Linked DNA regions of Saccharomyces cerevisiae S288C. The gene in region 4 interacts genetically with the main gene of each other region. Each region holds a gene or a part of one and is shown on either strand. Other genes may lie near its edges. The genes, in order: YNR064C, SPO1, UBP13 and YLL053C.

Region 1 (7,348 bases), on a different chromosome or scaffold from region 4:
AATGACAGGTTCCGTTGGCGACGGTAGTGAATTCGATTGGGAAGACCAAAAAACTTTCATCTCTAGAGATGGCGGTTTAACGTGGAGATTTGTTCATAATTCTTCTGGGTTATATGCTACTGGTGACCTGGGAAATATTATTGTGTATATCCCATATGATCCAGAGGAAGATGGCGATTTTCAATCTGAATTTTATTATTCTTTGGACCAAGGTAGAACATGGAATGAATATGAGCTGACCAATGCCATAAGTTCTGTCCATCCCTACAAATTGATAAATCCAACACCAGATGGATCTGGCTCAAAATTTATTTTTAAAGGAACGTTTGCCACTACCGATTCCGAAACCAACAGTATAACTTCTTTAAAAGGTGTCGAGTATATAATTGATTTTTCAGCAGCATTCGACTCTAGAACGTGTGAGGAGGAAGATTTTGAAGATTGGGATTTGGCGGATGGGAAATGTGTTAATGGCGCCAAATACAAGTATAGAAGGAGGAAACAAGACGCCCAGTGTTTGGTAAAAAAAGCATTCAAAGATTTGAGTTTAGATGAAACGCCTTGTAATAGTTGTGGTGAATCCGACTACGAATGTTCGTTTGAATTTGTTAGGGACGCAAACGGCCTGTGTATACCAGATTATAATCTGATTGCCTTTTCCAACATATGTGACAAATCGAAGGATAAATCTGTGTTAGTAGAGCCATTACAATTAATCAAAGGTGATGAATGTAAAACACCCATGAAAATTGAACCCGTTGATATTCCGTGTGACGAAATTCCAGAGGAGGGTTCGAGTGACAGGGAAATAGTGACCACTGAAAACAAATTTGACTTCGAAATTAAATTTTACCAATACTTCGATACAGTTGCCGACGAATCTTTGGTCATGCTGAATTCGATAGGAGACGCCTATATATCCCACGATGGTGGACAAACAATAAAAAGGTTTGACACTAACGGCGAAAAAATTGTTGAAGTTGTGTTTAACCCATATTTCAATTCTTCAGCATATTTGTTTGGCTCTAAAGGTAACATATTCTCAACACACGATAGAGGACACTCTTTTATGATAGCTAAATTACCTGAAGCCAGGCAATTAGGTATGCCACTAGATTTTAGTGCTAAAGCACAGGATACTTTTATTTACTATGGTGGCAAGAATTGTGAATCAATCTTAAGTCCAGAATGTCATGCAGTAGCATACCTCACCAAAGATGGAGGTGAAACTTTTACAGAAATGCTTGATAATGCAATTCATTGTGAGTTTGCAGGCACACTCTTTGAATATCCGTCAAATGAGGAGATGGTTATGTGCCAAGTAAAAAAGAAGTCTTCAGAAACAAGAAGCTTGGTTTCTTCGATAGATTTTTTCCAAGGTGATAATAAAATTATCTTTGAAAACATTATCGGCTACTTGTCCACTGGTGGCTATATTATTGTTGCCGTACCTCATGAAGACAATGAGTTGAGGGCATATGTAACTATTGATGGTACTGAGTTTGCCGAGGCAAAATTCCCGTATGGTCAAGATGTTAGTAAGCAAGAGGCATTCACTATTTTAGGATCTGAGAAAGGATCGATATTTTTACATTTAGCAACAAACTTAGAATCAGGACACGATTTTGGAAACCTTTTGAAATCCAACTCGAATGGTACTTCTTTTGTCACTTTAGAGCATGCCGTTAATAGAAACACATTCGGTTATGTCGACTTTGAAAAAGTTCAAGGTCTTGAAGGTATTATTATTACCAACATCGTTTCGAATAGGGAAAAGGTTGGAGAGAACAAGGAAGACGAACAATTGAAGACGAAAATCACCTTTAATGACGGTTCAGATTGGAACTTTTTGAAGCCTCCAAAGAAGGATTCGGAAGGGAAAAAGTTTCCCTGTGATTCTGTATCATTAGATAAATGTTCTCTACATTTGCATGGTTACACTGAACGTAAGGATATCAGGGATACATATTCCTCCGGTTCCGCGTTAGGAATGATGTTTGGTGTCGGAAATGTTGGCGATAAGCTTCTACCATATGAGGAGTGTTCCACTTTTTTAACCACTGATGGAGGAGAGACGTGGACTGAGGTTAAAAAAGGCCCCCATCAATGGGAGTACGGTGATCATGGTGGAGTCTTGGTTTTGGTCCCCGAAAACGCAGAAACTGATTCTATTTCTTACTCCACCGATTTTGGTAAAACATGGAAAGATTATAAATTCTGTGGCGACAAAGTCCTCGTAAAGGATATAATCACCGTTCCCAGAGATTCTGCTTTGAGGTTTTTGCTATTTGGAGAAGCAAAAAACATGGGTAGTGGTTCATTCAGAACGTATACAATTGATTTTAGAAACATCTTCGAGAGGCAATGTGAGTTTGATATTACGGGTAAAAAAAGGGCAGATTTTAAGTACTCTCCTCTGGGTTCCAGAACTGGTTGTCTATTTGGTCATCAAACCGAGTTTTTACGTAAAACCGATGAAAAATGTTTTATTGGGAATATTCCACTTTCTGAATTTTCGAGGAACGTCAAAAACTGTTCATGTACGAGGCAAGATTTCGAATGTGACTATAATTTTTATAAAGCCAGTGATGGTACTTGTAAATTAGTCAAAGGCTTAAGTTCGGCGAATGGTGCCGATATCTGCAAAAAGGAACCCGACTTAATTGAATACTATGATTCCTCTGGCTATCGAAAAATTCCCTTATCAACCTGTAAAGGTGGGCTGAAATTGGATGCACATTTAGCACCACATCCTTGTCCGGGAAAAGAAAAGGCATTCAGGGAAAAATATTCTATAAACACCGGCGCTTATGCGCTGGTTTTTGTTACAATTCTTCTCGTTATTTTCTTTGCCGCATGGTTTGTATACGATAGAGGTATCAGGAGAAATGGGGGATTTTCAAGATTTGAAGAAATAAGATTAGGAGACGATGGGCTGATAGAAAACAATAGGACCGATAGAGTTGTCAACATCATTGTAAGACTAGGATTATGCATTTCTTTAATTACCAAGTCTGCATTTCAACGCACGAAGGCAGGTGTAGCACGCTTTTCTTCAAAATTAAGGGCAAGGTTTGGCAACAGAAAAGGTCCTACTTACTCTTCGCTGCTTCAGGGTCAGTTTTCAGATGAATCAGATGGCTTGCATGAAGATGCTAACGATTTATCCAGTTTCACAAGTCAAGACAGTAATTTTGAAATTGAACAAGAAGATGCTTACAGACCCGAACAAGAGCACACGTCACAGATAGACCAGCCTGCCACTAGCAATATTCCAGACGCATTGCCAGCACGTAGTGCTATTCACAAGCCTGATTCAACTGCTGTGCGCAACGAGGACGAGTAAATAGATTTTTTTAATAGACTAAATAATCGTATGTTTGCTAACAAAAAGTACGCATATGCATTTTCTCAATATTGTGCATTTTCTAAATCTCCATTCACCTTTGTTATTAACATAGTCATTTAAAGGTATGATAATTCAGTATTCATCTTTTCCACAGACGGCGCTGCATGCCATTCGTCTGTAACTTGCCTAGGGACTGCGCCGCACATAATCGTGACAGAAATTTCAAAAGTGATAGGAGCCAAAAGTGATAGGAGCCAAAAAGAACATATATAAGCACGATCAAATTAACTGAACTTGACCACTTTTCTTTCACTGTCAGAATTGGACGAAGGACAAAAATGTCAAATATCATTGCAAGATTTCACAAGATTCAAGTTCAAGACGGTGTAAAGGTTTGGTACCGTGAGGCCGGTGCAGCAGGTAACCCCACAATTTTATTGCTACATGGGTTCCCTACATCTTCCAACATGTTCAGGAACCTCATTCCCTTACTAGCTGGACAGTTTCACATCATTGCTCCGGATCTTCCTGGGTTCGGATTTACGGAAACGCCAGAAAACTACAAGTTCAGCTTTGATTCCCTTTGTGAAAGTATAGGATATTTGTTAGATACTTTGAGTATTGAAAAATTTGCCATGTATATATTTGATTATGGATCTCCGGTAGGTTTTCGGTTAGCCTTGAAGTTTCCCTCCAGAATTACTGGCATTGTTACTCAAAACGGTAATGCTTACGAAGAGGGTCTCGATGACCGCTTTTGGGGTCCGTTGAAGGAATATTGGAAGTCATATCAAAGTGATCCGGTATTTGTTAAATCCCTTATCCCGTACCTTGAAGATCCAGCTAATGTCATATGCCAGTACCATGATGGAGTACCAGCTATCGAATCTGTTGATCCCGCCGCTTATACGCTTGATATTGCGCTAATTCAGCGTACCGGCCAGACCGATATTCAATTGAGATTATTTTTCGATTATCAGAATAATATAAAGTTGTACCCAGCCTTTCAAAAGTTCTTGAGAGATTCAAAGATTCCTGTGCTAGTTGCATGGGGTGCGAATGATACTATTTTTAGCGTTGCCGGGGCTGAAGCTTATCGGAAAGACGTTGATAATTTAAAGGTTGTTTACTATGATACTGGCCATTTTGCGCTTGAAACTCACGTAGTTGCTATTGCCGAAGAAATCATCAGTATGTTTGCAGAAAATTAAAGATACTAAGTTCTTGTGACAATGTTTTCTGAGAAGAATCTCTCGTATTTTGTTTAATTGCCAAAAACACATATGTTTCGACTCACATAGAGTTGCCTCAGAGCGTTCTTTTGTTACCCATTATTGCTCATAAATAAGTCAAAACAGATGTCTGGTCGCATTATCAAGGGTTTGTACTGGTAGCCCGGTGACAATATATTAATCTAAGCATATAACATTTTTAGTAAGTTCTTCAGCCACCTTTTTTACGATCTATGTTGTTTTGAAGGGTAAACCTACTACCATGTCATATGGATCTTTCCCCTAGTAAACTTGTATCTCAAAAGGTCATTTCTGAATAAAGTGTCAAAAAATCAGCTAGGAAACGGTTTAGTAAAGTATGCGACCCCAAAATTCGACAAAGCTATCACCACTCAGCTGTACTGGACTGATCGGATATTTGATTATATCAATAAGGTTTTGTTCAATAGGAAGTACCTGAACTAAATCTTGCAATATTTCCAATGCTAGAATGTATTCAAATAGTTCAGTACCTTTAAGGAACTGCACCACCTGCTTATACCTTAGGAGTATAATACATGAAATACATAATGTCAGTGACGCTGTTCTTAAAGGATAACAAAAATTCCAATCCAAACGTTCATGCCTTTCCTTTTCGTTATCGGGAAACTGTTTAGTGTATTGACTCCATATTTCGTGAATTATTGATTTTGCCATGGTTACTGCTTGTAAGGATTCTCCAGTGATCAGATACGGACGATATAATAGAAAAGAAGCTTGAGCTCTTAAACATGATAGCTCTAACATTAAGACTCTGCTCCTGTAAAAAAGATGTTCTTCGAATATCGGAAAGCCTTTTAACCTGGTAATCTGGAGTGAAACCTCCTCAAATTCTCTTTCTAAGTTTACGAATGGTACCTCGTTTGCGGTGCTGGAAGTATATAGCCGTTGAAAAATCTTACTTTGTAGAGTGGCTAGCTTGATTCTGATTTGCATGAAATCTATCAAAAGTTTATTAGTTTTATTGCGGGGGGATATTTCACACGGCAGAGGTGTTGTAATTTGTTCCAAAGTGATAAAAGGATTTTTTCCATGAATTGTTGCCAACATGCAAGAAGAACACCAAATGTTCCAAAAAAGCAAGATCACACCAATTCCGTCGCTGTTCGACTCAAGTAATTCCTTGCATTTTGTATTGTTGTTCAAGTTTAAAGCCACAGCAAGTTGTAAAGCATTTATACTCAAATATAATTGGTGCTCTAAGGATATCATCATCGTCATGAAATTTGCCATTAGAACGAGGCCGCAAAATCCATCGATTGTGGGATGAGATAACAAGTCGGGAACAAGCGTTTTCGCAGCATTATAGTACTTAAAAGCATCAGTGGTCAGTTTTGAAATACTATTCTCCGGCAAAAGTGGACGATTGTCTATGTTCGAATGATTCAATAGTTCCCTTTTTCGTATGGTCAACGACCCCAGGCACAATACAGTTGAAAGTAAAAACTTTTCATCACTATTTCCTTCTGTACATTCCAAATTTGGGTATTGGGATTCCAGCTCATATAGATGCCATTTTGATATTCCTGGTACGGAGTGAAGCTTGTTCTCAAACAAGACATCGATTAGCCGAGACCTCGTAGGAGCGTTATCTTCGCTCTCAGTTTCTTTAACCACACCGCTTAAGCCTGTAGCAGTAGGTGAATAGGAAAGACTTTTTTGTTCCTTTGAAGGTGAATTATCGCCTAATAGTTTTAAAAAGTCATCGAAATCTGTTGTCTCAGTGTTAAACTCATCGAAATCAAAATCGATCGGAAGAGAAGTGTCCCACCCGTCATTATTAAAAATCACAGCATCATTTGTGCCAAATCTTGATATATCAATATCTGAATCGAATTTTGGCGCTTCTTTCTCATATATATGAGAAGAAAGGTCTTCATTTAGTCCTTTGTTCTCTAGTATAGAGTTATTCCCGTTATCGATAGTATTATTCTTGAATAAAAAAACCTTCGACCCGTTTTTGATTTTTCTCTTGTCTTTCCTTTTATCAATATTATAAATGCATTCTTTTGGTGTATTTAGCCTTATACATCTTCCACATGGCTTGTTCCCATCGCACTTCAACTTTCGTTTCCTACACACAGTACAGGCCAAACTAATAGATCTCTTTCTAGCGTCCTTAGATCTGTCCATACTGCTTGTTGCGAACGCTTTTGTAGTTTTAGATTAAGCTCTCACAAGGGATATTATTAAGGGAACTTGATGGTCGACTTTAATTGAATCTTAGATGACAGCATCAAAGAGAACAGACACAGTTTTTCAGCGATGCCCGTAAAAACAATAGATTTTTTTTTTAAGTCGAGATGCTTACAAAGTAAAGAGCCTAATAGACCTCTATGTAAAAAGCATCAGATTATTCTTCAAACTCAAGTGACTTGGCAGCTACTGTTTTAACATACGGGCAAACAAACTTTAGGTGGAACGCTGGTTTCTGAGGTTTTCGAATTTGGATACTTGCCAGAGGAGATAAAATGTAATGAAGTTTTCTTATGACAACTTTTATTCTGTACTGGCCTAATAATAAATTAGTTTTTACCAAGAACATTGCATGTGTGCCATCGGAGCCATTTGCCAAAGACCAGTTTCTAGATAAATACATTCTTGAATGAAGTTTAATTTCTGATATTTTGTTAGCTTCAAAAGTTATTCATAATACTCTCACTTTACTAAGTTACATCTAAATATAAGGCTCAGGATATCCTTCTGGGTGAATAGTTCTCGAGAAAGC
Region 2 (8,163 bases), on a different chromosome or scaffold from region 4:
ATAATTCACCAAAAAACAGCAGAGCACGTCCTATATATATATATATATATATATATATATATACATATATATATACGAATATATTTATGACAGTCTAAATCGTTGCTCCTGTTCAATTTTAACGCTCTTTTATAACTGCTGTGGCGCCATTTCTTTGGCATCTAAGATGTGTCTCGGGACTTTCTTTTTCTGGTCATCTTGCTTTCCTTGCCTTGTCATTAACAGAGCTAAACTGTGTTGAGGAAGTGGTCTTTTAAATTTTCAAGGTCGCGGCCCGTGCATTGCGCGGCTGGATGTCTTTTAGGGGAGCGATGCGCTTGCACAAAAGAATAGCCTTGATTTCCGCTATTAATGGGTATATTCTTCTAACAATTTGAGTTTTTTCTCCACTTGTTTCTTTCTTCTTTCTCTTTTCCATTCACATTTTGCTTTACTTTTCTGGATAATATATATGTGCATATATATATATCCATTTAAATATATATATATATATATCTTTTGTCCTCCTCTCCAGTTACTTTTGCGCCAGAAATTCCTTCTTCTTTTCAATCTAATAGAGAAGGGTAGATAGTGTGGTGCAAAAAAAGAGCCTTTTAAACCAAAAATAAATAAAAAAAAGGAATCACAAAATGTCAGATTCACAACAATCAATCACCGTTCTAGAAGAGCTTTTCCGAAAGTTGGAAACTGCTACTTCAGAAACAAGAGAGGGTATTTCTTCGGAGCTTTCCTCATTTTTAAACGGGAACATCATCGAGCATGACGTTCCCGAAGTTTTTTTTGATGAATTTCAAAAAGCTATCCAGAGTAAACAAAAGGCGCTCAACACGCTGGGTGCGGTGGCTTACATAGCAAATGAAACTAATCTATCACCTTCTGTTGAACCGTACATAGTTGCGACGGTCCCTTCTGTATGCAGTAAAGCTGGTAGTAAAGATAATGATGTTCAACTTGCGGCAACAAAGGCCCTCAAAGCCATCGCTAGTGCTGTTAACCCGGTTGCCGTTAAAGCACTCTTACCTCATTTGATTCATTCGCTGGAAACTAGCAACAAGTGGAAAGAGAAGGTTGCTGTTCTCGAAGTAATCTCTGTATTGGTAGATGCCGCTAAAGAACAGATTGCCTTAAGAATGCCGGAACTAATTCCCGTTCTTTCGGAATCCATGTGGGACACTAAGAAAGGAGTTAAGGAGGCGGCAACGACAACCATCACAAAGGCAACTGAAACTGTTGATAATAAGGATATTGAGAGATTTATTCCAAAATTAATCGAATGTATTGCAAATCCAAATGAGGTGCCTGAAACCGTTCATCTCTTGGGTGCAACTACTTTTGTAGCCGAAGTAACTCCAGCGACTTTGTCTATTATGGTTCCTTTATTGAGCAGAGGTTTAGCCGAGAGAGAAACCTCTATAAAACGTAAAGCTGCGGTTATTATCGATAATATGTGTAAATTGGTTGAAGACCCGCAAGTTGTTGCTCCATTCTTAGGTAAACTACTACCAGGGCTAAAGAACAATTTTGCTACTATTGCTGATCCTGAAGCGCGTGAAGTTACATTAAAAGCTTTAAAAACCCTGAGACGTGTGGGTAATGTCGGGGAAGATGATGTGTTACCAGAAATATCGCATGCTGGTGATGTTTCCACAACACTGGGCGTCATCAAGGAATTACTGGAACCTGAAAAAGTGGCCCCAAGGTTCACCATTGTGGTTGAGTACATAGCCGCGATTGCCGCAAATCTAATTGATGAAAGGATCATTGATCAGCAAACGTGGTTTACACATGTTACACCTTATATGACTATATTTTTACATGAGAAAACTGCAAAGGAAATACTAGACGATTTCAGGAAAAGGGCAGTAGATAATATTCCAGTTGGACCGAATTTCCAAGACGAAGAGGATGAGGGTGAAGATTTGTGTAATTGTGAATTTTCCTTGGCATATGGTGCCAAAATATTACTAAACAAGACTCAATTGAGGTTGAAGCGAGGTAGGAGATATGGTCTATGTGGTCCTAATGGTGCCGGAAAATCCACTCTAATGCGATCCATTGCTAATGGCCAAGTTGACGGGTTCCCCACTCAGGATGAATGTCGCACTGTTTATGTGGAACACGATATCGATAATACACATTCGGACATGTCCGTTTTAGATTTTGTATATTCCGGCAATGTAGGAACTAAGGATGTTATTACCTCGAAATTAAAGGAGTTTGGGTTCAGCGATGAAATGATAGAAATGCCAATTGCATCCCTATCTGGAGGTTGGAAAATGAAATTAGCTTTGGCGAGGGCTGTTCTGAAGGACGCTGACATTCTACTATTGGATGAACCAACAAATCATCTAGACACTGTTAATGTGGAGTGGCTGGTAAATTATTTGAATACTTGCGGAATTACATCGGTGATTGTCTCTCATGATTCTGGTTTTCTGGATAAGGTTTGTCAATACATCATACATTATGAGGGTCTTAAATTAAGAAAGTACAAGGGTAATTTATCAGAATTTGTTCAAAAATGTCCTACGGCACAATCATACTATGAATTAGGTGCCTCTGACCTTGAATTTCAATTCCCAACTCCTGGTTATCTAGAAGGTGTCAAAACGAAGCAAAAGGCAATTGTTAAAGTAAGTAATATGACTTTTCAATATCCAGGGACAACTAAACCACAAGTCTCAGATGTTACTTTCCAGTGTTCTCTATCCTCAAGGATTGCAGTTATCGGACCTAATGGGGCTGGTAAGTCCACTTTAATTAATGTTCTTACTGGTGAACTGTTACCAACCAGCGGTGAAGTATATACACACGAGAATTGTCGTATAGCGTATATTAAGCAGCACGCTTTTGCACACATTGAATCGCACTTAGACAAAACTCCATCCGAATACATTCAATGGAGGTTCCAAACTGGTGAGGATAGGGAAACAATGGATAGAGCAAATAGGCAAATAAATGAAAATGACGCAGAGGCCATGAATAAAATATTTAAAATTGAAGGGACCCCAAGAAGGGTTGCAGGAATCCATTCAAGAAGGAAATTTAAAAACACGTATGAGTACGAATGTTCGTTTTTGTTAGGTGAGAACATTGGTATGAAATCTGAAAGATGGGTTCCAATGATGTCTGTCGACAATGCTTGGCTACCAAGGGGCGAATTGATTGAATCCCATTCTAAAATGGTTGCTGAAATTGATATGAAGGAAGCTTTGGCTTCTGGTCAATTCAGGGCTTTAACAAGAAAAGAGATTGAATTACATTGCGCCATGTTGGGGTTGGATTCAGAATTAGTCTCACATTCAAGAATTAGAGGTTTATCGGGTGGGCAAAAGGTTAAATTGGTACTCGCTGCCTGCACGTGGCAAAGACCCCATTTGATTGTTTTAGATGAACCTACGAATTACTTGGACAGAGATTCATTGGGTGCTCTTTCAAAAGCATTAAAAGCTTTTGAAGGTGGTGTCATTATTATTACGCATTCGGCAGAATTTACTAAGAATCTGACTGACGAAGTTTGGGCGGTTAAGGATGGGAAAATGACACCCTCTGGCCATAATTGGGTTGCAGGACAAGGTGCTGGCCCAAGAATTGAGAAAAAAGAAGAAGAGGGTGATAAATTTGATGCTATGGGTAACAAGATTAATAGTGGGAAGAAAAAAAGCAAACTCTCTTCTGCAGAATTGAGAAAGAAAAAGAAGGAGAGAATGAAGAAGAAAAAAGAGATGGGTGATGAATACGTTTCTTCTGATGAAGATTTTTAATTTGAAGTCGAGTACATCTCTTTCAGTGAGTAACTTATATATTTTTGAAGTTAACATCCTTATTCTTTTTTTATATTTTTATTTTTTTTATGTTTATTTTCTATTACTGATTTTCACAAAGAAAGGTAAAAAAAAACATACTTCAGCGGCTATACAACCATATTTAAGTAAATGCACTCAGAGAAAGTATACAAGTAAAAAACCTAAGTAAAGACATAAATATCCCAAAATAATGCAAAAACTCCTCTTTGTCTTTTCTGTGTTATTGACAGTAGTACTAGCAACAGCACCATTTCAGGTACAATGTCCTAGCTCTCCACTTATTAGGGAGGCCAAAGTAAGTTAAACTCTTTGCCACTTTAACAAATATGGGCCAAAACTAACCGAATATACCAAAACTTCGTATTCCTTTGTTTATTAGCATGAACTCTGTCCAGAAGAAACCTTGTATCTGAAGAAAAAAAAAATTAAAACGAAGAATAAACTGATTCAGTTTTTAAAATCCTTGACAGAGGCAAAGTTTAGTTCGAAGTTTTATAAACGCGTGTTGAAAGATCCTCCAAAAATTGGGATTGCTATATCTGGCGGCGGGTACAGATCCATGTTAGTAGGTACCGGATTTATTTCCCAAATGAACGATTATGGCCTTTTTGAATATTCGGATTATATTGCTGGATTATCAGGCGGAAGTTGGATCTTGATGGATTTGGTAGTTCAAAATTTTGAAGTAAAATCCCTGCTACAAGAGTGGGACCTTGAAGAGGATCTTTTATTAGGCATACCGGAATTCGATATTTCCGAAGAAGAAATTGTTACCAATGCAAAAAAGGAGTATAATGATAATGATTTGAAGATGAAGAAGCGTCAGGGGGGTTCTCTGATTACAAGCTCTTCAAATTTTTATGAACAAATAGAGGAGATCATGAATTCCATAGAAGAAATCCCAGAAGACTATATGATAACGAAGAGAAACTTGAATCCATTAGCAAGACTAAAAAAAATATTCTTTCCTAACAACACTTTCACTGGAACTGATGCGAAGATTGAAACCTTTAAAAAAGTGCTAGACTTTTACAAAAGTTTGCATTTGAAAATTAAGCCTAAAAAAATGGAGGGTTTCCAAATATCGTTCACCGATTATTGGGGTAAAGCAATCGTTCAAAGACTAAAAAAAAATTTCGATGACGATCCCAACCATTCCTTTTCGTTTTCGAAGCTTGTAAACTCGTCTAAAAAATTTAAGGAATGCAGTGTGCCGATCCCAATATTCGTTGCAAATTGCAAAAATGGACTTCTTTCAAACGTTATATTTGAATTTACGCCCTTTGAATTTGGATCTTGGGAAAATATCCTCAGACTTTTCGTCAAGTTGCCCTATTTGGGCTCAAAAATTGTTTCTGGAAAGGCCGAGAAGTGTATTAATAACTTTGATGATCTAGGTTTTATTACTGCGACGTCTTCTTCAATATTCAACAATGTGCTCATCTTCATCTGGAATTTGGCTTCTCAGTCCTCCAGAGAAGCAATGAAAGCTTTGAATATGGTTATGGGAATTTTTGGCCTAGGTAAAGAGGAAATATTTAGTATTTCGAAAGACTCCTCGAGATTAGAGACAGACTATGCCGTATATCAACCCAATCCCTTTTATCTTTATCCTGAAAAAGACAATGTCCTAACTAACAAAAATCATTTATACCTTGTAGACGGCGGAGAAGACGGCGAGAATATTCCACTCAGAACATTGGTGATTCCTGAAAGGGAACTAGATGTAATTTTTGTTCTGGATTCTAGTTCGGATATTGACAACTATCCAAACGGCTCCAAGTTAAAAAGGATATTCGAAAAATTAGATGAAGAGAACGTTCATTACCAATTTCCGAACAATGTAAAAACATTCACTCACCCCATTGTTATAGGATGCAATGCTACCAAAAGAACTGGACATGATTCATTTTTGCCAATTATAATTTATCATGCCAATGCGAATCATGGAAACGCATCTAATACGTCGACATTCAAAATAACTTACAATCAGTCTGAAGTTAGCAGTATGTTACCCACTGGAAGGGGAGTGTTTAGCAATGATTATGACCTTTATTATAAAAATTGCTTAGGCTGTATATTAACCAAAAGAACAATGGACAGGCTCCCAAGAAAAAAGAAATTTTCGCCATTTTGCTTACAATGCTTTAAAGACTACTGTTACTCATAAGAGAGTAGACTTTTTCTGTGAAATTTAATGAGTTTTTGTTCACCTTTTTTACTTTTCTTCTATGCCATATGGTTAAATAAAACATGGTTCAAACGCGATTCTTTTTTATTATCTATGTCTTTATTATGTAGTCTTCACTATAATAACCGTTAATGAGCGACATAGTTGCATCAGTTTTTAAGGCCAATTTGATTCAGAACCTTTTCAAGTTCTTCACTTTCCATCTTATCCGAAGACGCGATCTGGTGGCATCTAATACTATGCTTCTCGAATATCGTTTCATCAATTTCAATTTCACCATTTTTTAGGTAAACAATATCAGTAATAAAATCTTGCCATTCAAAGTCATCATTCTCTGAATGGACACCCTTAGATTGCCTATAGCCTGCTATTGCCCTACTCATAGAATCTATGATCATTTGAACGTAGTGTAAACCGTCTAAACCAAAAACCTCTCTATCATATTTATTATTTATGAGCAAAACTTTTTTCGTATTATTAGATTCCAAAATTACTTCAGCAAGATTACCAAGAATAAGGATTGGGAGTAAACTTGTCATTAAAGAACCGATAGAATAAACGACCATGTCAGCTTTTTTCACCTTGGAAATAGCTCTTGGATTTCCCATTGGTTTTATCTCTTCGCCATATGGGTTTATATACAATATCCTATGTACCGGAGCAGGTAGATTCTGTGATTCATCAAGCTTGTCAAAATGCAACTGGGAGTTTTTCAGTTCTGGAAGAATATAGATAGGATTGGCATACTCCTCTTCCGCTTCTTCTTCCTCATCGTCGAGGAGAATTTTCAAATGGTCGTCATAAGAGCCAAGTAAATGAATAAATTTAGCTGAATGTGCTATGCTATTATCTTTAGGAACAGATTTCGAGGGATGCGATATTTGTGATTGGCCAGTTATCATCTCACCATTCGTCAACAAAGCCGAGATATGATGTGTGTGATTGGTATTTATACATGGAATAACATGAACTAGAGGACTGCACCTTCCTATCCTCATCATTAGTTCAATAGATGCGTCTAGAGAACCTAAAAACAATCTAGCACCAGTTAAGAAAAAATTTCCAATGGATGCACTCTCAAACTGAAATGGATTCGAGTGTTTGATTTTTTTCAAGAGTTCTGCTTGCATATGGATAATAAAAGAACGACACATTTCCTTAACTTCTATCGAAATATTTTTCCATATGGGATGCGAACCTTCCACTATTTCATTCCATTCTTTCTTAGCTAATAACTTATCATTAGGTAGCCTATGGCCAAACAACTCGACAAGCTGTTCATCTTGAAGTAGTCTCACTATTCTAGATCTGATATCACCAATTGCTGGGCCACCAACTATTCGTAGAATTTCACTTGTGGACCCGCCATTATCTGATATTGGCAATATATACGTCAGCTCATGTCCTTTTAAGATAGAAATATTAGAAAAGCAAGGAGTCAATGAATTTGTGGCAGTCCCACCGGAGCACACAACGACGTTCATCTAGTAAACTATCTCACCACACTCTGCTATTTTGTCCCCTTATTACCTCGAGGGAACAAAAGATTCCGTTTCCTCTCTTTCATAGTCCGCCTAAATAGCTTAAGAAATAAACCCAAACATCACACATTAGCGTTCTTTAGGAAATACGAAACAGGTTAATACAACAGTAGTAACTTTCCACATAATATCTAAGCATTACACGCTGAAAAAAACTCTTTATTGGATATCAACAACCCAACACATTGTACGACATATTCTTTTATCGTTCTACTATGGTACCCTGTTCAAATCTCTTTTTCTAAAATGAGCGAAATTTTCGAAAATTATCGCATAATTTTTCATCATCTTAAATTAAAAAAATACAGTGTCCTCTATTGTTTATCTCAACAGAACGCACACATTCTTGAAACTTGCTCACATAACATAAGCTGGAGTGACATAGCATTTATATATATACAAGGGAAATGGTCAAAGCTGTTATTTTTACCGATTTCGACGGTACCGTTACTTTGGAAGATTCTAACGATTATCTGACCGATACTTTAGGTTTCGGTAAGGAAAAAAGATTAAAGGTCTTCGAAGGCGTGTTAGATGATACTAAGTCTTTTAGGCAAGGTTTCATGGAAATGCTGGAATCCATCCACACCCCTTTCCCTGAGTGTATCAAGATCTTAGAAAAGAA
Region 3 (8,249 bases), on a different chromosome or scaffold from region 4:
AGCTCAGGTATATTCCCACCTTGTCGAGCATTCCGGAAGCTACAAATACGACATTGCATACCAAGAGGCAAACGTTGAACAATGGCTAAAGATATTTTGAAGAACCAGGACCCTAAATTGCAAGCGATGATCGTTGAACACTCGGCGCCTGCTCCCAAAGAGATACCTATGGACGCTCCTGTTTTGAAAAGAGTCGCTAGACCTTTAAGACATGTAAAGTTCATTCCAATTAAATCGCTGATATTCCATACTAAAACAGGGCCCATGGATTTTTCTTATGAAAAGAAGATCAAGACGCCTATTCCTAAGAACAAAATTGTAGTTCGAGTAAGTAATGTGGGTTTGAACCCTGTAGATATGAAAATCAGGAACGGCTACACATCGTCGATTTACGGTGAGATCGGCTTGGGGAGAGAGTACAGTGGTGTTATCACTGAGGTAGGCGAGAACCTAAACTACGCCTGGCACGTGGGTGATGAAGTATACGGTATATACTACCACCCTCATTTGGCCGTGGGATGTTTGCAAAGTTCAATCTTAGTAGATCCAAAGGTGGACCCAATCCTTTTGAGACCAGAATCGGTTAGCGCCGAAGAAGCTGCAGGCTCCTTATTCTGCCTGGCCACCGGCTATAATATTCTGAATAAATTATCCAAGAACAAGTATTTGAAGCAAGATTCAAACGTTTTGATTAATGGTGGAACTTCGTCAGTGGGGATGTTTGTCATACAATTATTGAAGCGTCATTACAAGTTACAGAAAAAACTAGTGATTGTAACGTCTGCAAATGGGCCCCAAGTTTTACAGGAGAAATTTCCTGATCTGGCTGATGAAATGATTTTCATCGATTACTTAACGTGTAGGGGTAAATCTAGTAAACCACTAAGAAAAATGCTCGAAGAAAAGAAAATTTCTCAGTATGATCCGGTCGAGGATAAGGAAACTATACTTAACTATAATGAGGGGAAGTTCGATGTTGTACTCGATTTTGTCGGTGGTTACGATATTTTGAGTCATTCTAGTTCATTGATTCACGGCGGTGGTGCGTACGTAACCACTGTAGGTGATTACGTTGCCAATTATAAAGAAGACATTTTCGATTCATGGGATAACCCAAGTGCCAATGCAAGAAAAATGTTCGGGTCTATTATCTGGTCATATAACTACACACATTACTATTTTGATCCGAATGCAAAGACGGCTTCCGCCAATAATGATTGGATTGAGCAATGTGGCGACTTTTTGAAGAACGGTACTGTAAAATGTGTCGTCGACAAAGTTTATGACTGGAAAGACCATAAAGAAGCATTTTCTTATATGGCCACTCAACGTGCCCAAGGAAAGTTAATCATGAACGTCGAAAAATTCTAGATACCCACTTACATTTACAATATGTTTTATTTTTAAACTTAATGAACTTCATAATTTAATGCTTAATATTTTCCCCCTCCCACCTTCTCCTGGCGTTCTCTGTACGTACATAACCATTTATTTTAATATATAATCAAATATTGTAACAATTGAAGCAGATGAGTCTCGCTCCTTAGTTAAGCACGTGCCGATGATATCAATTGGATTTGTTAGCAAATCAGCCTTGCTGCTCGATTCTCTGCTTTTTTTTTACTTCTCGGTCATTGAAAAATCCTGACGAAAATATTTCAAGGTCCTATATGGTCATCGACCTTGAGCATGTGGTAGACTACATAATGCACATAGACTCTCAGCTTCAACTCCACAAGGCTTCTCCAGCAAAAATGAATTCAGAGTCTCGAGAAGATATGGCTATAAATAGTATCAAATTGCTAGCGGGAAACTCCCATCCTGATTTGGCTGAACAAATATCGAAAAAGTTAGGTATTCCACTTTCCAAAGTTGGTGTGTACCAGTATTCTAATAAAGAAACCTCTGTCACCATAGGTGAGAGCCTTCGCGACGAAGATGTGTATATTATCCAAACTGGAATAGGTGAACAAGAAATTAATGATTTCTTGATGGAATTATTAATTTTAATTCATGCTTGCAAAATTGCATCTGCAAGAAAGATCACTACTGTAATACCCAATTTTCCATATGCAAGACAAGACAAGAAAGATAAATCCCGGGCGCCCATTACCGCAAAGTTGGTTGCCAATTTATTGCAAACTGCTGGTGCTGATCATGTCATCACAATGGATCTCCATGCCTCCCAAATTCAAGGGTTTTTCCATATCCCGGTTGACAACCTATATGCAGAACCAAGTGTTTTAAATTATATTAGAACGAAAACAGATTTCGACAATGCTATTTTGGTGTCGCCTGATGCAGGTGGTGCTAAGAGAGTAGCTGCTTTGGCTGACAAGTTAGATTTAAATTTTGCTTTGATTCACAAAGAGAGGCAAAAAGCTAACGAGGTTTCAAAAATGGTGCTTGTTGGTGATGTTACCAATAAATCATGTTTATTAGTTGATGATATGGCGGATACTTGTGGTACGTTGGTAAAAGCTTGTGATACGTTGATGGAGCATGGTGCCAAAGAAGTTATAGCTATTGTTACACACGGTATTTTCTCCGGTTCAGCAAGAGAAAAGCTAAGAAATAGTAGATTGTCTAGAATTGTTTGCACAAATACCGTTCCGGTAGATTTGGATTTACCTATTGCTGACCAGATCGATATTAGTCCCACGTTCGCTGAAGCTATAAGAAGACTACACAATGGTGAATCCGTGTCATATTTGTTCACCCATGCTCCAGTATAGGACAATTTTTTATTCTTAGATTCCTGATTGCTTGCATGCCTAAATACTTCATAATTGTATTAGTTTAAAAGAAAACCTTTTACTGAGACAAAACTATAAATTTAAGAAAAAGGTTCCGGAGCCGGTTTAAAAAAAGAAGATTAAAGATATTATATTTATGTAAGAATTAAATTAATACTGTCAGAGAAAAAATAGTTTTAAAGGAGACGGTGAACCTTTACCTTCCTTGATATGCAAATATTTTTCAGCTTTTCCTAAAACTAAACATTCTCGACTTTTTTTTAGAAGACTTTATGGGTGTGTTAGAAACAAAGCTGTCGTCTATAGCAGTATCCAAATCGTCTGCTATAGGCAGCTCTTCCTTTTTCTTTTGACCACTATTGCAAGTTCTTAGCCAATCATCGTACTTGATTAGATTGTCTATATTATCATCTTGTTCTTTTGCCATATTTTCACGATCATTCTTTTCAACAGCGTTTGAATACATCGCTTTATAAAACAAAACATATGCTGTTGCCATATTTGGAGATTCACCTGTGAATTCTAACACTGTTTCCTCTTTAACTGCCTCTACCGTTTCGTCATCAAATAACAACCAGCCAAACTTTTCATGTTTACATAGGGAAACATAATGGCCGTGTTGTGGCCCACCGCCCATATGAACGACAATCCCAGCCAATTCATACTTTTGACAAACCTTAGAATTTATTGAAGAGCAAACATTTAGCGTCAGAGGATAGTGAATGTTATTAAAAAGCTTAATATTACAGTTTTGTTTCTCAGAATACTTGAATCTTTTCAAGTGTAATGTTAAAGTATCAGGCAATTGCTTCAAACCAACTAATCTCTCTGCCTCCTGTAAACCGCAACATTCGTCACAATAAAACTTGTTTGAGCCATTTAGCATTTCTCGCTGGTGATAACTTTTCAAAATTTCCTGTATATCTGTTTCCTCATCTCCCTGAACTTCTATGGGGAAATCCAAAAATGGCTCATCCCTAGATGTAATGTTATCGCACGTCAGACATTTTATTTGATTCGTTAAAGTGCCTTGAAACAAGTCACTGATGAAATTTTTACTCTTACTCGGTTCGCTATCGCTGTTGATATCACTGGCTGCTATTTTTTTATTCTCACGTTCTATATATTCACTCAACTCGTTTAATAAGAAATTGAAAAATTCGTGAGCATCCTGATGCATAGTAGTATTAAATAATACATTTTCTCTTTTGAGAACATCAACAAAAGAGCTAGGCGATACAACACCAGTTAAATACGTATTCTCAGTTATGCATTCAAAGATATCTCTCAAACTGGAATACAAAGTAGCCTTATCTGAGCCGTTTAAGCTATGGTCAATATTGAGCACTGGCCCACGAATAAGTGCGGATTTCTTTCTATGTTCTGGGGATATTTGAGAAGAGGAACTAGATCTTCTAGTATCTTTTTTATCAAGTGGAGTGGATAAGCTGCTATTACTTTCTCCTTTCAAGTCCAGGTTATTACTATTACTGCTACCTCTTGAAGGATTTTCATAATTGAGAACTCTGCCAACAATTATTTTACGCGGAACATCCGGAGGTCTATCTGTGACGTTCTCGAAACTCAATCTGCTCGGAGCACCAGGCTCATTAGGTGTTTCGACTATCAATGGAGGTGCGTCTTGAGGACGAGAAGAGGGTTTTCCAGTGGTTAATATAGCAGGACTTCCTTCCTTTTTATTATTGTCTTGTACATGTTTCGCGCTAAAACTTTTAAAAAATTTACTCTTCTTCTCTGAAGGCCCAGCTGTATTTGAATTTACAGAATTTACAGGGGTAGGCTTTCCATCATCAACAGATTGAGGTTTAGGGTTAGGCAAATGTCCATTGGTACCAGCAATGCTTTTCTCAAAACTTGCTTCGGTAAATATTCTTGGTTTCTTACCTCTCATTTCTTTCTTTCTTGGTTGATCAGATTCTCTTGATTTTTTTGGAAATTGCAATATATTTTCACGTAATGAGGACAGATTATAGAGACATTGAAGAACTGAGTTACAGTAACATGTATTGCCAAAATTTTCGTATCCAAAAACTTTGTTGGAGCCGTCTCCATAGGGCATTGAGTCGGACACCTTCATAGCTAATATGGGTGCCTCGGGCCCTTGCGTGATAATGCCTCCGTATGCGTTTATAGCCTTTGCGTTTGAAATATAAAATATCCCATCCTGGCTGTAATTACTGCCTTGATTGCACGTTTCAGAAGAATAGTCTAGTCCGGAAGAAATCTGCAAATTATTGTCTTCATTCAAAAAAGTTTCCTTGGTATCCAAATTAGAGACAAACAATGAGCTAGAGGGATTATCGGATGATTCGCTATAACAGAGTTCATCATTTATATCGTGGTTTACAGGCTTAAAGTCAACCTTTTCTACTTCTTCTGTAATGGTATCATTAACAGCCTTTTTCTTCTTCCCAGACTTACTTATAGTTAGCCATCTTCTGATCATGATTGCGCCCTTCTTGCGTGGGTTTAGTATGTTAATGAAAGTACTGGATCCTTACTAAAGCCGAATTTGGCCCCTTCAACAAATAAAGCTTGATGAGTTGAACAGTCAAAGGGTAAGATCTGGTATAGGCAATAATAATATTATCCAAATGGAAAAAAAAAAAATGAACAGGTGAAAAAAAATCAATTTGAAAACCAAAGAAAAACTCTATTGATTCCTTTGCTGTTGTCGACCTTCTTTCACACAATAGTTCAATTACGTTCTTTGGGTTCTTTATCTTTATAGTTATCTTGCCTCATCTCTATGTTCAACACTTTCGGATCGATGTATTTTTCAGCCTTCCGCTAAAATTGACGACCGTCTCCAAACGAATAGGGATAAAGAAGCAAGGACTGAGCGTTGGAGAAAAAAAAAAAGTTACCGGAATGGGAATAGATAGATACCTATAAGAAGCGTTATCGTTACTCATGAATTTTGGTAAATGCACACGGATAAATGCATGATATATAAAATATTAATAAGAATAAAATAAATAGGTAGTGAATAAATATTCTACTTTGGTGTGGTCATCATTTTACAAAGGAGGGAGGTCGTGATAACAAACTGATAAATAATCCTTAAGTTGATCCATTCTTGAATATTGTTACATTGGAAATAATCCGAAAAAGAATATGTATAAATAAAAGGACTCGAAGTCCTATGTAGCCGTCTTTGCAAATTTTCTTTAATAAATTAGCAGAAAACAAGGGTAATAATATTTCTTAGAATATTAGAAGAATATAGGCGTTAAAAACCTTGTTCCATGTTCATATCGAACCAACCAAAAAAGTCATCATTACTGGAGTTGCCTTCAATCCAGCCTGCACTTTGTTGCTGAAAAAAATCCGTTAGTTTGTTTCCAGGAGTCTTCACGTTGTTTTCATTATCGATGGTTTGGAAGTTAGAAGAAGTTACAGTGTTAGTGCCCGTAGAAAATCGTTGGTTCGTTTTGTTGCTATTGATATCATTACTTTTGGAAAACAAGCTCAGAGGTGGATATGCCGTGCTTTTAGAGGAGCCGGGGTCGGAAACGACGGAATGCAAATCTGTCATATTATTTGACTTCGAAGCAATCGGTGTACGTGAATGGGACATACTACTTTGTGATCTTCCAATCGCGTTGGCGTTGCTGAATTGATTATTATAATTCATGGTGACATTTTGTAAATTACTGTGCTCCCTTGGAATAGGGTGGTCTATTCCCAATGTAACATTATTAGATAAGTTGCCAACGGGGTGGTTCCTTAACCCTGGAACGGACGCAGGAAAATGATTAACGGGAGTGCTTACTGATCTTTTCATGGAGAGATCAGGAATTACACTAGGTCCGTTACTATAATAGTCTACCTTAGTACTTTGTGGATTGTTATTCGAAGCGGGGACAGAAGCCACTGGATAAATTGAATTAGAGGGAATTGATATGTCATTAGACGCATCCAATAACGTCCTATTATTATTATAATCGTTACTATTCGAGGTATTAGCGAATAAACTTTGAAATTTTACGCTGCCTGTTTCCCCGAGCATGGAAAGAGGTATCCCGTTAATCTCCATTATAGAACCGTCAGAATCTCCGTTATTTGTCTTGGCTAGCTTTTCTGCCTGCTTTAAGGCATTCTTAGTAGGAACTAAAGTGGTAACAGTGGTTCCACTTGGTGTTGTTTTTGTTACAGTTTCAAAGTCATCTCTGGAGATATGGTTATATAGTGGCAATGGATATAGTTTTCTGTCCGTTATGCCACCCGTAGACGAAGTGCCATTGTAGATACCATTTGAGGAAAATTTTCTTTTCTTAGCGGCTTTCTCTAAGGCTTGCTTGTTATATTCGGGATCCATTTCCCTTCTTCTCGCCTCGTGAACACACCAAACCAAATCATAGAATAGAGACCCTGTTAAATGTGATCTCATCCTAGAAATAATACCGTCTTCTTCCACAAAAACTTCTGGATGCATGATCAGTACGAAGTTCAGTTTTTCTAACATACTTGCAGTTCTCGAAATATCATTCTCAACACTAGTGGCCCACGCAGTTAACTGATTTCTATAAAGTCTATGGATAGTGACCACGGATTGCCTTGCTGAATCAAAATATTTGTCAGGAAGTAAAGGAGTCAACTGCAATTTAAAGAGAATCAGTGCAGAAAATGTAGCAGCTTGTCTAATATAAATAGGCAGTTCAATTAATTGGTGTGTTTCTAAAAGATTATTCAATAGAGTGACAATTTTAGTAGCTGTTAGATAGGCCTCTGTGACATATGGAATTTGATCGGTAGGAGGTGTTTCGGGTAGGAATGCAAAACAACAGACAGTTAATTTAACATAAAGAAAATAAATGTTGACAGTATCGTCACTCTGGAAATTTAAAGTTTTTGCTAATAAATCTAACTCTTTTCCCAAGATGGACAGTGTCTCAGCACGATACTTTGGTTCCAATAAACCATCAGGACTGGAAGTGGAAGAACCAATGATATGAGACAATTTTGCTTGGAAATTCGCCAGGCTGAGCAATCTTCTAAAACTGCCCGGTAGTTTGTATTTACTTTCAACGTGCGGCTCGTCTTTCTTGTTCCTTTTATCATTGTTGTTATTGTCAATACTGTCATTGTTATCTTCTTCTGATTCTTCGTCACCACAGGATAAGGCTTTTTCTAATAAATAGTCTGTCTGTGAAGTTGGTGGCAAACCAAGGATACTCGCCCAACAAAGTTCGGCAAAAAATATTCCCAGCCAAGTCCTAGTTCTCCACTTTTCTGCATTTGGCATTGATGTTTGAGTTCTTGTGAATTCAGAAATGAATTCACCTCTGTGCAAACCTAATTGATAAGACAGTGACTTTGCTAATCCTACAAAACGGTAAGAACAATCATCTAGGACTTTTTGGTTAGGCAAAGGCCAAATGCACAATATTAACAAAGCTTGCGAAATATGTGTGGATCTAGGTGTTCTTATCCAGCAGGTCTCTATGGCAAGTTGCTTGATCAAAGAGC
Region 4 (6,833 bases):
AATTTCACTCTGTAAAGATTCGTCAACATCTTCAGTGAAGTTTCTGGAAAATTCTTGTGCGGAAATGAGTTTTTCTAATTCTTCCAAAATCTCCAAATCAAGACTTCCCAAGAATTGTGGATTGTTTAATTTTGATGTGAACGAAAAGGACTTATCCCTTCCCATACCCCATTTTAAACCGACAATCCTATGGATTCTTGAATATCTTTCATCCATAACGGCGTCACTCTTCCAGTAGTCGGATATAAACGCAGACAGCGCGTCAGTATCCACCAAATAAATGATATACCTGAAAATAGAGACAGAAATGAACGAACCGAGATAACTCTTTTCCAGTTTCGAGATAACAATTTCTACAAGTAATTTCATATGATATGACATCAACTTGATCATTTTTTCAATGACTCGACTAAGTCTTCCGTTTCTATCATTCAACATTCCCATGGCTGCAGAGGATCTGTCGCATGTATCCTTCTTATAAAATAATCTCACGAGCAAGGTGGCCTGGAATATGAGTAATCGATGTATCGAAAAGCGAACAACTTTCTGAGTGGCAAACCCAAAAGGTTCCCGTAAATGCAGAAGAGATCCATTAAAGTATTCCGAGATTAATTTTAGCAACGTTAAATAATCTTGTATAGCGGTAAAAGTAAAGCGGTGATAATATGTTTTGTACTCCAAAGCGTTTTTGAAACATTGATTTTCAAAATGCAAAGATAAGCTATCATAGATGTTCATTGTACAAGTGTAGCTAATCACATTAGCTATGAATGTTTCATTTTCCTCAAAAGTGCTAAAGTCAAAAGATTCTTCATTTGCTAAGGAAGAGGGAACATTGATATGTAAGCTCTTCATCCTTGGTTCTCCAAGAGAACTTAAAATGAGAGGGAATTTCTGATTTAAAAAATCTTTTGTCTTGTCGATGTTATCCAATACTTCCTTCAAGTAGGAAGGGCCATTTATTGGAAAACAAGAAGTCAGTAATACCTGTAAAGATAAATGTAAATGATAGATATTCTCTGCTGTAGCCATCAACGATAAGTCTAGATTATTAGTAGAAGCGTAATTTCTCTCAAATAGTTCTGGTAGAGATTCGTCAGTTTTCATAAAGGATCTTAAATATTCCAAACTTAGAATGTCAGAATCTCCTTCTGGAATCAATATTCCAAACTTCAAAAATTGCACGCCAAGCCATAATTTCCTTCTTAAATTGAATAATCTTGGATAATCGTCCGATTCGCTGACGTATCGAGTGTATTGGAAGGGTTCTTCATTCAGTCCTAGCTTTATTGCTACATTCTCCAAAAATTTTAGGTTTAGTATGTCACTGTGAGTAGGATACATGTCAGCTTGATCTGGATTCAAATACCGCAATATGAAAAAATAGAGCAGACAACAAAGTGTATGTTCATTAACATATTGAAAAACGTTCATGAGAGCAAGAAGTTTATGAGCGAGTAGCGTTAAATTATTCGATTTTACACCAAAAGATTCTTTAAATGAATGACTAGTACTTAGACTCAAACGTCTGTAAGAAAAAGCCAATATGATAGTTAGCAGTGTTATTGTCTCCAGTTTTCTTCTAGAGTCTTTGCCCGCAAATACAATGTTATACCCATTAAATTCATTCAATTGCAACAGCTCCCTTATGTTATCTTCGAATAATGATATTTCCAGTAACGGATAGACCGGATATATTGTTTTGTAAAAGTCCACGATTAAGCCATCAACCTCATTCTTATTGAGGAAATATTTGGATAACTCTTCCAAAAGGATGTTTATGGAAATTTTATCATTATTTTCTTCAGGATGCGCTTGTTCATAATCATACGTGTTATACAGAAAATCTATTGGAGGATACAATTTGCTTGTTTTTGAGGTATTTTCAATAAATTTAAGTGCAGCTTTATCAATAAAAAACAAAGGTCCAATATCACCGATTGTTAAGTTAAGTTCTCTTTTTTTATTGTTGGCAGAAACGTTTTCACGATGGCGTTCGACATCAATCAGTATCCTCTCATGTATGCAGGTGGTCAAGGCCTTCGCATACAAATCATGTTGAAGAATGCTATGGAAGGCAAAAGGACTATCAACGATGGTTGTGTTATTCATTACAACAAGCTTGTCGTGTGCATTCGATAAATTCATGGCAAAATTTTTCATTTCCCAGTCTTTAGTACTTGGATTAAGTATGGAAGTAAAGGAACCACTTGCGGACATCGATGCAGGAGTAATGTTTCTAATGTCTCTATGTGGGGCATTTTCGATAGTGGGAGATTTGTTAATCCGTCCTGGTTCCACTTCGTAGCTACAAATCGAGGATGAGGCCTTGCATTTGGAGCAAGTAGGCCAAAGTTTATCACATTTGATTTTCCTTTGCTTACACCGCAAGCAAACAAACGATGGCTTAACCTTTTTCTGAGATGCAATGCTCATATCCAGTGCAGTACACTTATCTTGTCATAGATTTCTGATGGGTAAATAATTACTTCACATCATCTTTGTTTCCAAAGTTTGGCCTCAATGTTGCCTTTAGGAGGAAAAAATGTGAAGAATGCATACTTCTGCCGCTTACGTAAAAACAGAACTCTGACCAGAAGAGATAAAAACAAAAAAAAAATAAAGGACAGTAAATATGAAAAATAAGATATTATTATATTAAATTAAATTAAATTAAATTAAACTACGATGGGAGCGTTATGCCAAAAAAGATAAAATTCTGAGCAGACTACTCTCAGTCTTCCTTCTTTTGACCTGCCGCCTTTTCGGCATTAACGTATGTAGTGTAATCAAGGATTTGTAATAATTGCCACACTGACCAGGCTAAGAAGGCACCCAAAAGTGGGCTAATCCAGTAGATCCAGTGGTAATGAGGGAAATATCTGGCAGCAACGGCGGCACCCAGAGATCTTGCAGGGTTGACACCGGTACCAGTGTAACCGGTCAAAGCCATGTGAGCCATGAATAAAGAAATACCAATTGGAAGCGCAGCCATAAAGTTAGTTTCACGTTTTTCAACAGCAGTCATCAAAACTGTTAAACACAACACAGCAGTACCAAACATTTCCAAAAACAACCCCCTAGATCTGGAACAGCCTAAACCCAAAGCATTAGTAAAGAGAACCTTGCCTGGAGTCATAGCACTAGCGGCACCACCAGCAGCCATCCCAGCAATGATCTGAGGAAACCACATCACTACACATCTGGCTGGTGAGATGGCTCTGGCCAAACACAAAGAGAGAGAAACGGCTGGGTTCAAAGCCCCACCAGAAACACCAGATAGAAAACATCACAGAGAAACCGAAACCAAGGGCAATCATGATCAATTGACCTGGATGAGAGCCCTCAGGCTCGGTTGTCAAAGCCACATCATGGTTAGCGACATTACAAATGACGTAAGCACACCATAAAAACATGAAGGTACCGCAAAACTCACCCACAGCAGCGATAAAGTGGTTTCTTAAGGTATCTCTGTCAATATTAAAACGCGAATGCTTCGTTTCCGGCTGTTCAGGTGGAATATAAGCATTGTCAACACCGGTCGGGTCCAAGTGCGAAATGTTTTTTTCAAGGTCGTTAGATTCGTTAGACATAGTATAACTAAGGTAGGCTAGTGTCGCTTTTGAATATTTTCAGGAATTGTAATAGCCAGGAACAAGAAAAAAGACATGCGCACACTAATAAGCTACTAAAACCAACATATTTATACTATCAACCGAGAGAGGGGCAGATATGATTCACGATAAAAAGTTAATAAAAGGATAACAGCGGCGCTCTAATTCGTTAATGAAAGCCATAGTCCGGTATGGACAAAAACTATTTCCTTCTTTTTTTTTTTTAGGTTTTTTTTTAATTTGCACTTGCAATAATCTAATTCACTGTAGGAGTTTAAAGAAAAACATCTAGAAGGATTGGAGGAGGTAAGTCATTATTATGGCGGTGCTCTTTTAGCGGGAAAAAAAAAAATACACCTACGACGTTAAAACAGATCGTGCTGTCGTCTCAGCGGCAGTAAAAGTACTGTAGTAGTTACGGTGCACGCAGATGCAATGCTAATTAAATAATCATGCTCCCATTTTTAAGAAGCAGAAAAAGGCCGCAGTAATTTGAGCCGTGAAAAGATTTCGGAGGGTTGATTCTTAACATTTTCCAAAAAAATGTCCTTTGGTCTGTTTGCTTGGGTCTGAAAAGAAGGACTGCAGCGCCACCTCCACTGGTTAAGGACAAAATCCATACTTATTCCATCTTTCTCGGGACATATTTTCCTGAGACAAAAGACCGTAGAACTTCAAAGACTCGTTCCCAGAAAGGGATTTAGAGTTAATTTTTGCTCGGCATCAAGCCGGAAAAATTCAGGCGCCGCTTAGTAATTAATTGCAAGTAAAGAAGTACCGGATTTATTAGACATCGTCTTAGCAAGCAAATTCCTGAAAGCTAAAACGCAAATAATTAACTAAAAATAGTTGCTAAAGAGCACCTTTTATGCGGTACATAAAAGTTTTTAGTGCCGTAGATATATGTAGATATAGGTGGGCGTAGGATCAGAAGGAGCCGGAGAGAAGATTTACCAACACTGATATTCCTCGAAATACTCTATAATTCTCTCTGGGTAACCGAGGAGTTTTTGAGAAACGGTGTTTCTAACATCGTCCACCAGAACAGGAGGGCCGCAGCACACGACCGCTAATGAATCTCCAGGCGGCGTACTTTTTATTGCGTTTTCAATTACATTGCTAAAATTAGGTCTTGCATTGCCGATGTGGGCGAAGCTTGTCAGTTCGGTCATTATATCATCAAAATGTATTAATTGGTCTCGTGCGTTTGCTGCCTTTGTAACAGCTGTTTTCTGTGTAAGGTAAACCTGCACGTTGACGTGGGATCGGCTATTTTTTAGCTCTAGTATCTCGGATTTATAGCCGTTAAGAAAAGAAGGATTTTTGATCGCCATGATCAAATCTATACTCTTGGGTTTATCAGGGTTTCGTGACAGCTTAATGGCATGATCTAATGGACCAGGCAAGCCTGTTCCTCCACTTAGTAACAGCAAATGGTCGAATTTATCGAGGTGAAGATTACTGGGCCCATAAGGTCCCTCAATGGCCACTCGGAGTTGTAATTTACCATTTAAAGATTGCAAAATATGGTTATAAATGAATCTAGTGAGACCACTTTTAGGTTTGATCACTAAAACACACTTCTCACCTTCGTCGATAATGGTAAATGGATGGCATTGCCAAAATACCAATGGATGTAAAAAATAAATGAAACAATATTGACCCGGTTTCGAATGCCATCTCCGGTTATATTTGGGTATGATTACTTTAAACATTTCATCGTGCGGGTTGTTGCTGGTGTTCAAATTGATTAGTGTTGCTTTCGGAAATCTAAACTGCAAAATGTTCCATATTCTGAAAAGCTTTTCCAGCCCCCAAATGAGCAAGGATACCACTATCCATTCTTTCCAACCGTTGAAAATTTTGACGTGTTGCCAACAACAGTAAAAGAACAAAAGGGCTAGTATGATGTGGGTGTACAGGAAAAATTCGTAATGTCTTTTCCTTACTATTCCGAGCGATAGAACTAGTAGAACGCAAAGCACTGTTATGGATGCAATACCAAACTTCCAATAGAGCTGTTTGTTGCTTATTTTGAAGGCATGGTTGATAATTGCGAATAATGAATAAGAAAGCGAATGTATCGTTGCGTTTAAGACCATGATTCTACCGATCCATTTATGGAAACTAATAAAGGAATTGAACTTGACTCCTGTTAAAAATTCGAGAAAACTATTCCTTGCCGTAAAAATGATAATGAGAGGGAACTGAGTAAACGCCAGTATCCCAGATCTATCAGCCAACAGTCTTGTAAACTGCGACAGGTGACTGTTGAAAATGAGGTTATATGGGTCTATGATGTAACTTATGGACAAAAATATGATGTTCGCCAATGTGTATCCAAAAATGATCCATGCCTCCAAGGAATTCGGCATCAGTCCCGTAAAGACTTCCACGTTTAGAAACTTGAAGTGATTAGCGTGCTTATCTACTAAAAACGTAGGCAACACAAAATGGCCCCGAATATAATTGACGAACCGGCTTGCAAATAGCGCTCGATTCAGGCCGTTATAGTGACTCATATGGAAGAAGACGGCGATAATACCCACTATGACGAAGTAGTAAGTTAAATATGCACCATAAACACTGCTGATATCTAAATTATAGGCATGCGCATGAAAAGCTCGTATCCATCTAGATCTTGTCTCACGATCGACTCGAATGGATGTCGATAAACTTTCAATAGAACCATAGTCTTCCAAAGCGTGAGAAGAAGCATTATTTAAAGATGAGTAGTATTGCTCCAGTGAAATATTGCTAAACTTTTTATCGACAAACGAGCACGTTTTTCGTACGTTACCCAAGCTTTCTTCGAAACTTGTGTTGTCCATGGGAATAATCTGGTCTGTAAGCGAATTGAAGATACAAAGTGACCAAGTATCAAACGCTGGTGAATAAGAGCATATGGTAGAATAGAAACCCGGTACGACGGAGCTATCAAATGACCACTTCAGAGTATTTATATAGGATGCGCATGCCAGCACAGCGTTGGATTCCAAATGGTCTTTTTTTTCAGTGTGTGGTAATTTTATATTAAAAGCCTTTGTTAAAGATATCAGCCACGTTAAAAACAGAAGCGTTCTATGCATATTCAACGAGCTATGGTCGTCATGCTTCACTTTAGAAGATTATAGAAAAATCATTGCTGCCTGGTTCGATGACCTTGTATCTTTTCTTGATCTACATGGCCAGTATTTCCGTTCTGAATTTAGAATTACA

The links.
Region 1: mutations in YLL053C (region 4) and YNR064C together harm fitness more than expected from each alone (negative genetic interaction), as found in Saccharomyces cerevisiae (one large-scale study listed by BioGRID).
Region 2: mutations in YLL053C (region 4) and SPO1 together harm fitness more than expected from each alone (negative genetic interaction), as found in Saccharomyces cerevisiae (one large-scale study listed by BioGRID).
Region 3: mutations in YLL053C (region 4) and UBP13 together harm fitness more than expected from each alone (negative genetic interaction), as found in Saccharomyces cerevisiae (one large-scale study listed by BioGRID).

The regions. Positions count from the first base shown.
Region 1 is NC_001146.8:746,348-753,695, reverse strand, and holds YNR064C (epoxide hydrolase), read left to right. Parts: upstream 1-3,687; coding exon 3,688-4,560; downstream 4,561-7,348. Other genes in the region: YNR065C (uncharacterized protein), read left to right, coding at 1-3,346; PUL4 (Pul4p), read right to left, coding at 4,930-6,753.
Region 2 is NC_001146.8:605,690-613,852, forward strand, and holds SPO1 (putative carboxylic ester hydrolase), read left to right. Parts: upstream 1-3,996; coding exon 3,997-4,101; intron 4,102-4,185; coding exon 4,186-5,976; downstream 5,977-8,163. Other genes in the region: HEF3 (translation elongation factor EF-3), read left to right, coding at 630-3,764; YNL011C (uncharacterized protein), read right to left, coding at 6,147-7,481; PYP1 (putative phosphoric monoester hydrolase), read left to right, coding at 7,946-8,163. UniProt on the Saccharomyces cerevisiae protein: Regulates spindle pole duplication in meiosis I, but not in mitosis. Required for meiosis I, meiosis II chromosome segregation and spore formation. Binds phosphatidylinositol (4)P mono- and polyphosphates.
Region 3 is NC_001134.8:90,660-98,908, forward strand, and holds UBP13 (ubiquitin-specific protease UBP13), read right to left. Parts: upstream 5,224-8,249; coding exon 2,980-5,223; downstream 1-2,979. Other genes in the region: AST1 (Ast1p), read left to right, coding at 82-1,371; ribose phosphate diphosphokinase subunit PRS4, read left to right, coding at 1,755-2,735; SEF1 (Sef1p), read right to left, coding at 6,010-8,249.
Region 4 is NC_001144.5:32,769-39,601, forward strand, and holds YLL053C (uncharacterized protein), read right to left. Parts: upstream 3,194-6,833; coding exon 2,735-3,193; downstream 1-2,734. Other genes in the region: YLL054C (uncharacterized protein), read right to left, coding at 1-2,436; AQY2 (Aqy2p), read right to left, coding at 3,144-3,593; FRE6 (putative ferric-chelate reductase), read right to left, coding at 4,565-6,703.